Linked DNA regions of Nothobranchius furzeri. The protein of the gene in region 1 interacts with the protein of each later gene in a pairwise test. Links are inferred from orthologs where the notes say so. Each region holds a gene or a part of one and is shown on either strand. Other genes may lie near its edges.

Region 1 (3,649 bases):
AGAGGAAGTCATGGTGAGGAGATATTAATTCATTCATGATGATCAGATCAAAGGGAAAGCTTCTTACTCAGGATGAGAGCAACATTTCGACCTTCATACAGAAGCTCTGACTGCTGACTCACATATCAGACCTGAGATCAAACATCCTTCATTCTGCACGGTCTGGTTGGACGTCACCTACCACACCGTTGACAGACAACAGCTGATCCCCTCGCTTTAGGCCTCCATGCCTTTCAGCCACGCCTCCAGGAATGATGCGAGAGATGTAAATGGGGGAGTTCTGCTCCTTGCCACCCATCACGTTGAAGCCAAGCCCTTCCTCCGTCTTGGGAAGCTCAACCACCCGAGGGTGAGAGTGACCTTCGCTGGCTGCGAAGGCTGCAACCGTGGCCTGCAGAAAGAAAATTTGAAATTCCCTTCAAAGATCTTCCCTTTTTTTTTTTTTTTGCATTCAAACAAATATTACAAAGCGTCAGCACCGTCTTGTTTCTGCAAAGCGACAGAAATTAGTCAGGGCCGAGGATTTCGCCTCCATGTGAGAAGTTTCTGGTTCTCAGTGCGGATGGATTAACACATCCAAGTTCACACCGCTGGAGCAGCCAGACAGCTTTCCCTTCATTATCTCCACCAGCTGTGGGGTTTCTTTGAACCACAAGCTCAGAACAAAGCACCAAGGAGCTTTTAAAGCCCAGCTTAGGGAAGCTAATGGCAGACGAACAACGAAAGAGACACTCGGTTCCCACTTTTTTATAGATGTGCTTGCATCAAGTTAGCATCATTCATCAGAGATGATGCGGATCTAACATGGAAGGAGCTGTAACAGAGGAGAGTATGAAACCTTGCAGACGTGCATCCATTTTTCCTCAAGAAAATCCGACTCTGCCTCCAAGCGGCTCCTCTTTCTCAACATTCACATGACAAGTGCCCTTTCTCCTTCTTCTCTCCTCTGTTCTTTGCCCTCTCTTCTTCTGCTCGGTGTCTGACTGTAAAGGCGGCTCCTCAGCATGCATGCCGTCGCCTCACAGGCCTCGCAGCACATCGACCTTCACAACTTTATCTGGGTCTCTGCAAACAAAAACATCATCTGGCAGATGGCCGGCGCCTCTCAGACACAGGAGGGATTTGAAAATGAAAGGCTAGCTGGGGGAAACCACACACACTCTTCATGTGACGGCTCAGCATATCCAGTCACTTTATTATGTTTCCATTCTCTTGGTGGGAAATTGATTAAATTGGGGAGGCGATCAAAGCGCTAAAAGCAAATCTCGACTGTCAGGAGATTTAGCATCTCATTACTTAAAACACTTGAGAGGGAGATCAACTCAAACGTGATCAACGAAAGCTTAATTTTCACTCATTGCTTGGAGTGAAAAGGGTTTATTGAGGCTGTAACAATTCCGGGGTTTTCTAGTCCTCATTTTAAAGATGCACATTTTAAGAATGAAGTAAGAATGACATCCTGTGGCCAAACGTGGTTACTGCAGGCCACTTTTCTGAGCAAACTGTTACTTTACCCGTGACTCTGAGTGAGTTTCACGGCTGTCGGCAGTTACAGATCAGCATCAGAAGACGAGTGAAGACGAGATATCACAGTAAGTTGATAAGTGGAAAAATGCATTGTCACATCTGGTGTGACAATGACAAGGGAGCACTTACTACACTTACTACGGTAAAGTGTCCTCGGCAGTAGAGGAAGTTTAGTTGTTTGCCTTCTCGCTGTTAGCTCGCTGTTATAGTTCTGAACGACTCATTAAATGAAGAAAGACGCCACCGTTGACTCATAATTCACTTTACACACACGTCACTGTATTATTGAGATTTTGGTGATTGAAAAAGTACCTTGAGATGTTTTTACAGCCAACTAGTTGCCTCTAATTCCCTGTTACCATCGTTAGCTTAACATTAGCATCTGGACTACTTCACCAGATATTACAGTAAAACATAAATACGTCGTGGCTTATAAGGGTCCAAGAAATAACTTCTGGCTTGCTCCTGTTTACTGGCTTCAGTTCTTTAAATGACTGTAGAGTTTTTTGCCTGCTGGTGTTAGCTGCTAGCTCTCTGTAGATTCGGCAACCTCACTGATTGTAAGCAGTAGCTAGGCCCAGTGTTGCCAACTGTTTTGACTGAAACTAGCTGAAGTTACCCCCCAAAGTCGCTAGATGTCGCCAGATGACGTCACGCACTAACTTGCATACGACACAATGACGTCATCTGGTTTGCGTGATGATGTCACCACATTTGCGCATGACGTCACCGGTCTTGTAGAGTAAATCAAACAAAGCCCACGTGATTTTATTTTTAAAAAATTTAATTTTTTTTATATTTTATTAAAATAAAAACCCCATAGAATACAAAACAGCGGCCTTTAAAACATCAAGGAAAGATGGCACAAAAAATGGAAGGACTATTTTTATTTTGTCTGAAGAGAATGGAACTCGTAAACACAAAAATATTAAATTGATAGGAATGTATGTGTGATTGACTTAAAATGAATTTTCTCTTGTAGTTTTCAAGTGCCTTGAGATGTATTCTTCTGTTGTGATTCAGTGCTATATTTTGACCTAAAAGATAATATATATATATTTTGTTTTTGTTTGTTTTTGTTGTTTTTAGTACTTTTGTGTAGAAGCAGGCTGTATTTAGTATTCAGAAACGTTACATGCAAACTGCCAATGACCTGAGGTGTTTGTCTTGCAGTATTATTCTGTTTTTTTATAAAAGTTTTAAATGTGCTACGTTACTGAACTCATCATAGAGTTCCAATGTTCCTTGAATGCACCACAAGTGGTGCGAGAAGCCATGTGTGAGTGCGACGCTGTCTGCCAGTGCCAGGCGAGCTCAGCGGCCGAAGAGCGGTCGCCCTTTCTGTAGCTCCGGTGGCCATCTCAAATAATGGACTTGTGAAAACCCACGAAAGGTTTTATTGGTCAACGAGGGTAGCGTGATCATGCTGCACGCACACGCGCAGAACATTTTCTTTCTGATCCTCTGGAAGGAAGGACGGTCCTGTCGCTTCAGATGCATCGCTAATCTGCAGGTAAAGTCTGCTACAAAGTTGTAGTCAAAGCAGCTGAGGGGGGTCAGAAATGTCGCCCGATTTATCGCTAGGCGCTTTTTAGAAAAAAAGTCGTTAAGGGGGTCTGAAAAGTCGTTAGAAATGGCGACAAAGTCGTTAAGTTGGCAACACTGGCTAAGCCCCTCTTGTTTTTTTGAAAGGAGGAAAACTGACAACTTCCCAGCTGGCTGAGAAGGAACCTTCCTTCCCAAATGACTGAGACAATAAACAGTTTTAAATATTTTCTCAGTAGAATTTTCACATATTGCTCCTTTAAGCTAACCATGTCTGGGTTTCCTCCAAATTTTTGGAGTAGCAATTTCTTTTCAGACATCTGAAAAGATGTATTAGAAAGCGTTCATTTAACCACCTGTTTACTGTATGGTGCTCAGCCCGATTGCCTTTTTAATTGGTGACAAAAGAGCCCTTGAGCAGCTCTCGTCATCTGAAGCCCCATCCAATCAGAGAGTGACACAAAAACCCCACTTCCTTTGTTTTTGTCATCCTATCCTCCACCCACCCTTCATGATGAGTTGAAGAGGAGTAGACTCAGCTGGACTCTGAACTAATGAGGGACACACAAAGAGAAAC
Region 2 (4,449 bases), on another chromosome or scaffold:
GGCAACAACATTTGTTGCATTTTTCAAACATGAAGTGGGAGTGGAGTAAAACTCTGGTAGGGCGCGACTTGCTCTTTAAAAAACCTCACAAGTCTATTCCTCCCTGAGGGCTGCGTTGCTCCTTCTCTTCTTCCGTTTAACCTCCTTGAGCCTTTGCCAGCACCCACTTCCTCCACTGAACTCACCAACAACAGGACCCAGACAGGCCGCATCTTCGGAAGCCTTTTCCTTCCTCTCAAAGGTGGGATTGTCAGTGCCAACTTTTTGGTTCTGCGACAGCTTTTTGAGCCTCAGAGAGGCGTTTGGATCAATGTCATGTTTCCCCTTGTTGTCCTCCTCTCTCCTCCTCCTCAGCTCCTCTTGGTAATATTGGATCCTCTCCATGTGGGCACTGCAGTGAGGGGATTTGACAAGGCTGCTTTCCTGCCCCGGACAGTCCACAGCCCTCTCTCTGTGGCTCATGGCCTGACCAGAGGCCTCTTGCACATAACCGTTCATATGGGATGTTATCATCCCTGTTGCTGCGGCGTACAGTTCAAACCACCCCAGGGTTTCCTGAGGTCTGCCAGAGCGTCACGAGAAGCTGCTGCTGGAAACTATCAGCTCAAGGGTCAAGGCACGCCATTGGAGGATGGAGTCCTCTGTGCCGGTTCAGTCATCGCTCCTCCTGATACAAAAACACAAATAAAAATAATTTGTTTTAGAAATGTTTTAACTTAAAATCATTCAATGTATTTTTTTTTTTAGTTTTTAAAACTTGAACTTCAGCAAAAATCTCAGACTGTATCAACAACTATTGAAAAAAGGTTAAGGGATTTGTTTGGGCGTGCTATCCTTCTGCTCACTCAGCAGACTTTGTTCATAGTCTCACACAACATCAATGTCAAACTCACAAACTACCTGGGGCTTCGCTAAAACACATAATCTGGCTGCGTGTCGATCAGGACAAACTTTTACTCCTTTCCACTCTCGTCCGTCTCTCCACTAATCTAATTTCTAACATGGAGAGCTTTCAGGATTCGGTCACCTTAAATCCCTTCTACACAGCCTCATCCAGGCTCACCTGTCCACCAGAACACCTCAGCCAAAATATAGCTTGTTGCTTGTGTTGATACTCAAATAAAGCACAAATCTGTTCAGCATATCTTGGAAGCGGAGTTCACCTTCATAATTTTAAATAATTTGATTCTACTTAATGTTTTGTTTACTGTATTTGCTAATTGATATGGATTTCTGAATAATTTTACATTTTGTACCTTGTGAAACAAAAATAAACTGACTCGACTTGAGTATATTAGGTGAATTAAAAAAATTAAAACTGAAAATGGCACATAGATATGCATTACCACCTGGGTAATGTTGTGAATGTTGTAGATTAAGATCTATTCTGTTGATGTTATAATCTGGATTTGATGGTATGACGTGCCTCAAAGTGGAAATTTTCTAATAGAAAATCCTGTTCGAAAACAGTAAAAGGATTAAAAGCCGAGTTGTTTTTGCACATTATTAAAGTAAAATTTTTGATATTTGTGTCATTAATGATTGTATCGCTCTTATTTAAAAAATTTTTGCCCTTCTTTGCAAATCAAATTGCCACAGATTGAAAATGAGAATCAAACACATGCACATTGTCCTTGAAAGCCACGTTTGACATTCCTGTGTCAAAGTCAGTCGTGTCCCCTACAATTAACTGGCAGCAACTCTCCACAGCTAATCACGGCTGGCAGGTCCACTCCTCCTAAACCCTCCCCTCCAGAACCATTTAGTTGTGTTTAGTGTAGCAGGGTACTGCTGAGGAGCAGCAGAGACTGCCAGCAGACCATCTGTTCCCGTGGGCTTAATTAAGCTTGAGATCTCATGCTCTGCTGCTGCTAACTGGTTGAAGCAGTTCTGAGAAGGATGCAGGGTAGAGAGTGGCGCCTGGGTACAGAAGTGAGGATGAGAGGAAGTGCACAAACCAAACAAGGTGATACAAAGAAACTGGCTCCGCTTTGTGGCCTCAAATTCAGCCCTCTGCATTTTATATATTATATATGACCAAACAAATCAGTAAAGCACATTTTCTTACATAAATTGAGATACTTGTCTTACTCTCACCATCCTCTCGTGTTTGACAATGTGCATAAAGTCATATTGTGTCAAAAACATATTTTTAAACAGTAGAGCAGATTATTACGTACACAGATATTTGTTTAGTGAAATAAAACATAAAATATGACTATAAACACTAGAAAAATAGTTTTTTTCCCGACTTGGACATTGCTCAACCCGTGTGGTGACACAAATACATTATTTTTTTAAGTTTTCCCCACGTTTGAACGTTCAAGTTATATTTAAATTATCAAGCAACGCTAATCACATGTTTAATAAACTTGAATGCTTCCTTTATTAGAAATAGTGCCCAAACAGCTAGAGGCTAGTTGGGGTAAACTATTTTAAGTCGATTCAAGGAAACACTAAAGACAGCAGTGACATAAAAACGTGTTCGAATAGTTTTGCAAAGTAAGTTAAACTTTCATACAAACCAACTCTGTAGAATAACAAAAGTTTTTCACTTAAAAACAAAGTTTCTGGTTTTATCGTCGGTGTTTAACACCAACCGAAGCGCCCAATTTAGCTCAGAGACTAGCGGCACATCGCTGCTAAGCTAACAGCATAGCCGTCCCGTTACAGAGAGCCTCTACTCACCACTTCAAAACCAGCGATGAGTCCGAGTTTCGGGAGCAGGAAGCGGCTCTTTTAAAATAAAATCTCCGGAGAACATCCGAGCAGCTCGTGAATGAGAAACTTGCCGTCTTCTCCCTAGGAACGCGTTCAGCGGTTGTTGAGTTTTGTCCAAGCGCAGTCGGGACACTTCTGAACTGCGCCACCGGTTGTTTTCAATCGTTTCCTTGGCAACACTGCAGCTCTACAGCGCCATCTTTCCGACAGACACGTAACGACAATGTCGTAAATAACAATACTATGTAAAACATTGAATAAGGCGGATTAAAATAGACACTCAGAGTTTATGAATTTAGACTTTTACCAAAAAAATCAATTTTAAATATATACCTGTAGAACAATTAATTATAATGATTAATTTCGTTATTTTATTTACTGTAAACTCCATTGTAATTATTCAACGGTGCCATAAGGTCACAATTAACTAAAAAAAAAAGCATTAAGAACATCCGGCAAGCATAATCAGATAAATTAAATTATAAGTACCCAAATCAGCACTACACCAAATCATAATTCCAACAGTGATGAGACTTACATGTTTGCATTTTTTAACATTCTAGCTAAGGTATATTTTTCTTGATGAAGCATATTTCAACACATGAAATCAAAATAGTTTAGAATAGCTTTTGTAATAGAACTGCAAATATCACTCCATTTGCAGATAAAAGCCACTAAAAAGAAAATTAGCGTAATATTTATTCAAAAGTGTGTCTGCCACACTTAGGCCATTGCATTAAAAAAACATTCTTAGGCAACATCACACAACTTGACAAGTTTGAAAAGGGTTTGAGAAAGGACTGGAGTGTCTACTGGATTCATCTTAGTTCACATCTTCCCACCTTTGCTCTGTGCATTTATACTTTTCCCGCAGGCACAGAAGGAGCTTCCAGTCCAGCTGAGACGTCATCTCTCCATGAAGAAATCCTGGAGCTATCACAAAGTGCCTCATTGCATCAACAGTGACCCCAACTCAATGATAAATTATACATGATATCCTCTAAACTATATTTATGGCACTGTTCTATGAATGGTACACAGTTTTATTGCAAGTCTTTACTGTTTCACACATTAAAATGACAGCGCAAGCCCTGTAGAGCAGAAAAATGTCTAATTTGACTTAATAAAGAGATTATATGAGGGACCTTGCAGATCACATGATGATCACCAGGAGAAGCCAGAGAGGTCTGAAATTTAGGGACAGGTTCACCAGAATTATGCATTTGTTGTGTCTATAGGTCATTTTTTGCAGATTCTAAAGTCTTTTTAGAATTATGTTCAAAACCCTAAATGTCCAAGCCCAATATTTAATCTGACATCACATGAAATCTAAACTTTCAGAGCAAAAGGTTGACCTCAGAGGTTACAAGTCAGAGCATTTAATTATCACAAACAAGTCTGGATAAGGGAAATTTAAGCTTTTTGCATTTACGTTTAACTTCACTAATTTCTTTCAGAGAAATATATTTTAAATGTATTATTTTCTTGAGTAAAACTTGATATGTTTAGTTTTTGTGTTTTGATTAACTTGCAAATTGTTATAACCTAAAAACTAATCAAGTGTAACTTGATGAAGGAGCTATTCCTCCAAGGTTATTTAACCTTTTCCACAGTTCCCTTTGACACAGCGCCAGAGTGCATGAAACAGCCTCAAGATCTCAGTTCTCAAGATCCCATGAAGTTCACCGCATGTTAAGTGAAGTATGGACAGGCCATTCTGCACTTCTC
Region 3 (4,447 bases), on another chromosome or scaffold:
TGTGTAGCTGGGACTCTGGTTAAAGGTCGTACCAGCCACACACACACAACTAAGACTCACTGTACAAACACACTCTCCAAACAGGAAAAAAAACACATCTACTGTAGCAAGAACAGCCAACACATGATAGTTTGTGTAGAATCATTACATATAAACTGTGTGAACATACTAAATGCTAGTCACCACAGGAGTCAACCAAAACATCTAAATTATAGGCACGAATTATGAGAACTTACCTACTAACTGTGATTAAATCATCAGTGCAGCGCTGAGTCCCATCTTTTCTACTCTTCATGAACACAAGATGAGGAGATCCAGTTAGTTTTGTTTTAAATGTCCTCAGTAACTCAGAAGCTGGTCATGTTCATGTTTCCTTTCCTACAGAGCTGAAGCAACATCTCATGTATTTAGTGTTGTGTTAGGGTGACTGTCTTGTTTCAAGTATGCCAACAGAAACGTAAGGCAGATGTTCTTTTAGGGTTAGTGAAATGCTGTGAGCACTCAGCTCCTGTCATGTTGGCAGTTTTGTCATTTTCCTTTTTAATGACTAAAACATTCTTTCCCTTCACATGTGATCAAATGAGCATGTGTGGAGGGTCATTTTCTGTGTGCTAAAGTCTTCAGTCAGACCCTCTTGGTTTCATTTTTTTTTACTTCCAATTCAGCAACATTTCTTCAGTATTTTTAAAGATTTTCTAAATGTCTTTGGGTTTTGGAAGCGTTTTTCACCACTTTTACTCCATTTTCTGGTATTTTTTGAAAATGTTTGTCTTCATACCTCTAATATATGAATGTTTCTAGGCATCAACAGGTCCTAAACAAAAGAAAACCTGTTTTAAATAAGAAATTTTGGCCCTTTGTTTACATGTGTTTGTTAGTTTTTCTCTTTAGTAATTTCTTAGACATGTCCGGGTGATAAGACATTTCCTTTACGACTAACCTACTCTCTTATATTTGAAAGCACAAACTGATGTTGGGGCCAGCTAGCATCACTGGACAGAATCCATATAAAGTTACCCAGAGTTGTAGGGCTGCCACGACTAGTCGACGCGTCACGACGATGTTGACAAAAAAAAAGGTCGACGATTTAATAGTCAACGCGTCGTTTTTTGTATGAGCATTTTTAAAATCTCGCCTGCAAAGACTGGAACATGTAAAGCTTCAAACTTGCCACCATGCCTCTAGAAGAGAGGCACAAATATAATGACTTGGATAGAAGAGGCTTTAGCTAAGTGTGAAATCATGCCTGTTAAAATAAAAGCAGTAGTTCATAACAGTGGGTCAAATATGGTGGTAGCAATGAGACTGCTTGAAGAGAAACATGGATGGGCCTCTATCCGGTGTGCTGGATGCACACTCCAGCTCAAGTTTCTGTGCATCCCTGCCACTTCAACGCCATCTGAGCGGATCTTCTCTGCAGCTGGGGACATCTGCTCTCAGAAGAGAGCAAGCCTTTCTCCTGAACATGTGGAAATGCTAACTTTCCTGAGTGTAAACCGGGACCTTGTGTGATTATTTAGCAGCTGGATACATTTCATGTGAGCTCAAGTCTTTTTTGTATTTTAGTTTTTAGTTGCTTACGTCTGATCTGTTTGACATTGTTGCAACAAAATTCACTGAATGCTATTATCTTTATTATTAGATGGCACATAACTGATCACACATACAGCATCCTGGTACAACAAGCTATACTTTTATGAATGACACGATTAGTCGCAACTAACCGTTACCAAACTGGCGACTAGTCGACTAATAAAATAGTCGTTTGTGGCAGCCCTAGTTCTAATAAAAAGCTGAAATGATAAAAACGTCTGAACACCCACTGAGTGAGACGCATTATTTCGGTCGGGCTCGGGAAAGTTAGTTATAACGAGCTCAAAGCTAGTTTACATGTACGGGCTCGATGTTTTAGTATATAGTTGTGTGGAAAATTAAAGAAATCAGACTAAATGTCAACATGGTCTCAGAATGAATCAAACCTGCTGTCATGACGAGCTCGCGACACACGCACAGCGCACGTGTAGACAACATAACTAGCCGTTAATGGCAAATTTACTGTGAAAACATTCGTTTTAATGTAAGTGAACACGAACCAGAAATGATTTGAAGTCTACGACTCGAACTGTGTGATGTCAGGTCTTCTTCGGCATTATTTAACCACAGCGCGTCCTAAATCAGTCCTAGCACACATGCCTGCATGTTAGCTATGCTAAAAATGTACCGCTAGCTACTTGTGCTATGCCGAGCGTTGTAGGACCTGTTTCAGCCGAGCGATCTCAAACTTTCGCTCGCACTTCAAATCAGATCATCAGCTTAAACTAAAGAGCCAGTGGAGCTAGCGTGATCCCAGCAGCGGGGCTAAAACAGCGGGATAAAATTAGCTAACTGGTGAAGCTAGTTTGCTCGTGGCTAACATTAGTGAAAGCCGAGACTCAAGAGAAGCTCCTCGATGAGACCGTTACATTTTTATTAATGATTCGCTACCTGGCGTCTTGTAATCAGCATCCAGTCACGCTTCCATTTTCCCTGATCTCAGTCCATCATAATCCGCGAATATCCAGCAGCAGTCACTTGTACATGCATGTCCAGTCGCGTCTCCGTCTGTCCACACAGAGGTGGAAGCAGCGCACATGTCACTCAGCTCCGGGTTAAATCTAGCTCACACACACCAAATGTCGTTCAGGATTATTATCGGGCTGGTTTATAACTTTGTTTCCAAGAACTAAAGGCTGAGATATTATTTTTATTAATCTAAATGCAGATTATGTAGCGTGTGTGTATTTTAAAACCACAGGCAGTATCGATTGGCGACGCTGTCATTTAACACACACACACACACACACACACACACACACACACACACACACACACACACACACACACACACACACACACACACACACACACACTAGGATGGGTAATACTTCCACAAAAGAAACTACACTGGTATGGCAGCCTAGCCTAGTGAACTAGATCACAATCTTGCCTTGCAAAAATTAAATGATAATAAATTGCAATAATAATAACAAGAAGTATAATAATAATAATAATAATAATTATTATTATTATTATTATTTAGTCTGGCTTGCCAGGCTAAACATACGTTGCTCTGAAGGTGCTATTGACAGATCTACATTTGCTGCTACCCATGTGCACTAAAGTTCACTCACGTGTTTTTGTTTCCAAAGCTGGCCTTTGAACTGTGCTGATAACAAGCCAGATGGTCCCTTACCCTTTTCAGAACACAGCATTAATGACATCTAGAAAGAGTGTTACCGATATTTTGTAGATGCAGTGATGAGAAGCACAGTTTACAGTGGTCACTTTCAATCTCTATAGTGACGTGTTTTGTCTGTTTATAAGACTACACATACTTTACATATCTTATTTAATTTAATGTATATATGCACCATTGTAATAGTCCAAATAACTAATTAAAAACAAAGAACCTATTCATCTCTAATATAGTGAGCTTGTATTGAACTGCATTATTCGTTTTGCATTTTACAGATCATAACATAACATTTAACCTGCTAATCTAATTGAAATCAATTTGCAAATTAAACAATTTTGTTGTATTCAAACAAAATTCTGAGTGAGCACTGATTTAGAATTGTTTCATGTCCTTAAATGTGTGATGGTGTACAATTTCCAGCAGAGGACGCTTGTACGCTGCCTGGCCATAAAAAAATTGCCACCTGGATTTACTAAACAATCACTGCATAGGCGATTATCTTTTACCTGGCAACAAGTTATTTAACTCCAACTGGGTGCAAATAGTTGCTTCTGGTTTCTTAAACAACCATGTGGAGACACATCTCATGGTTATGGAAAGTGTCTGTTTGAGAAGGGCCAAATAATTGGGATGCATCAGGCAGCCAAAACATCTAAGGAGATTGCAGAAACTTAGCCTGGCTAGCCATGTCAATGTCTGTGTAGAACAGACAGTGGGAGAGTCTGGCAGGTCATACTAGAAACTATTAAAAATGAGTTAAGAACTGTCCGACGCATTATTAAAAACTGGAAGGATAGTGAAGAAGAAGAAAAGATCTCTTAATGTAGCAACTCTCATGGGAAAAATCACAAGGCCATTCACAAGAACAAAAATTTACAAAATGAAAAAGGCTAAAAAATTATTCAAAATCCTCATAAAATAAAATAAATTTTAAAAATGCAGAGCAAGAAGAGAGGCAAATGAAGTGATGCATGCAAAAAGCTAAAAAAAACAACAACTAATGTTTGGGTACATTTTCCAAAAGTAATCATGCCTATTACCTACACGCATGTGGGGGGCAGTGCTATGATCTGGGGTGGCTGCAGTTGGTCAGGTCTAGGTTCAGCAACAGGATGTGCTCCAAGAATGAGGTCAGATGACTACCTGAATATACTGAATGACCAGGTTATTCCATCAATGGATTACTTTTTCCCTGATAGCTTTGGTTGGGGA

The links.
Region 2: the proteins of lin7a (region 1) and pals1b interact in binary tests that used the Homo sapiens proteins (3 or more experiments, as listed by UniProt). The two-hybrid records come from large-scale screens. The link is inferred for Nothobranchius furzeri from reciprocal best matches to the Homo sapiens genes LIN7A and PALS1.
Region 3: the proteins of lin7a (region 1) and protein PALS2 interact in binary tests that used the Homo sapiens proteins (3 or more experiments, as listed by UniProt). The link is inferred for Nothobranchius furzeri from reciprocal best matches to the Homo sapiens genes LIN7A and PALS2.

The regions. Positions count from the first base shown.
Region 1 is NC_091741.1:40,970,994-40,974,642, forward strand, and holds part of lin7a (protein lin-7 homolog A), read right to left. Parts: intron 392-3,649; coding exon 182-391; intron 1-181. UniProt on the Homo sapiens protein: Plays a role in establishing and maintaining the asymmetric distribution of channels and receptors at the plasma membrane of polarized cells.
Region 2 is NC_091742.1:8,458,298-8,462,746, forward strand, and holds the start of pals1b (MAGUK p55 subfamily member 5b), read right to left. Parts: upstream 2,880-4,449; 5' UTR 2,689-2,879; intron 668-2,688; 5' UTR 514-667; coding exon 186-513; intron 1-185. UniProt on the Homo sapiens protein: Plays a role in tight junction biogenesis and in the establishment of cell polarity in epithelial cells.
Region 3 is NC_091745.1:83,010,314-83,014,760, reverse strand, and holds the start of protein PALS2, read right to left. Parts: upstream 2,857-4,447; 5' UTR 2,485-2,856; intron 290-2,484; exon of another isoform or gene 285-289; 5' UTR 237-284; intron 1-236.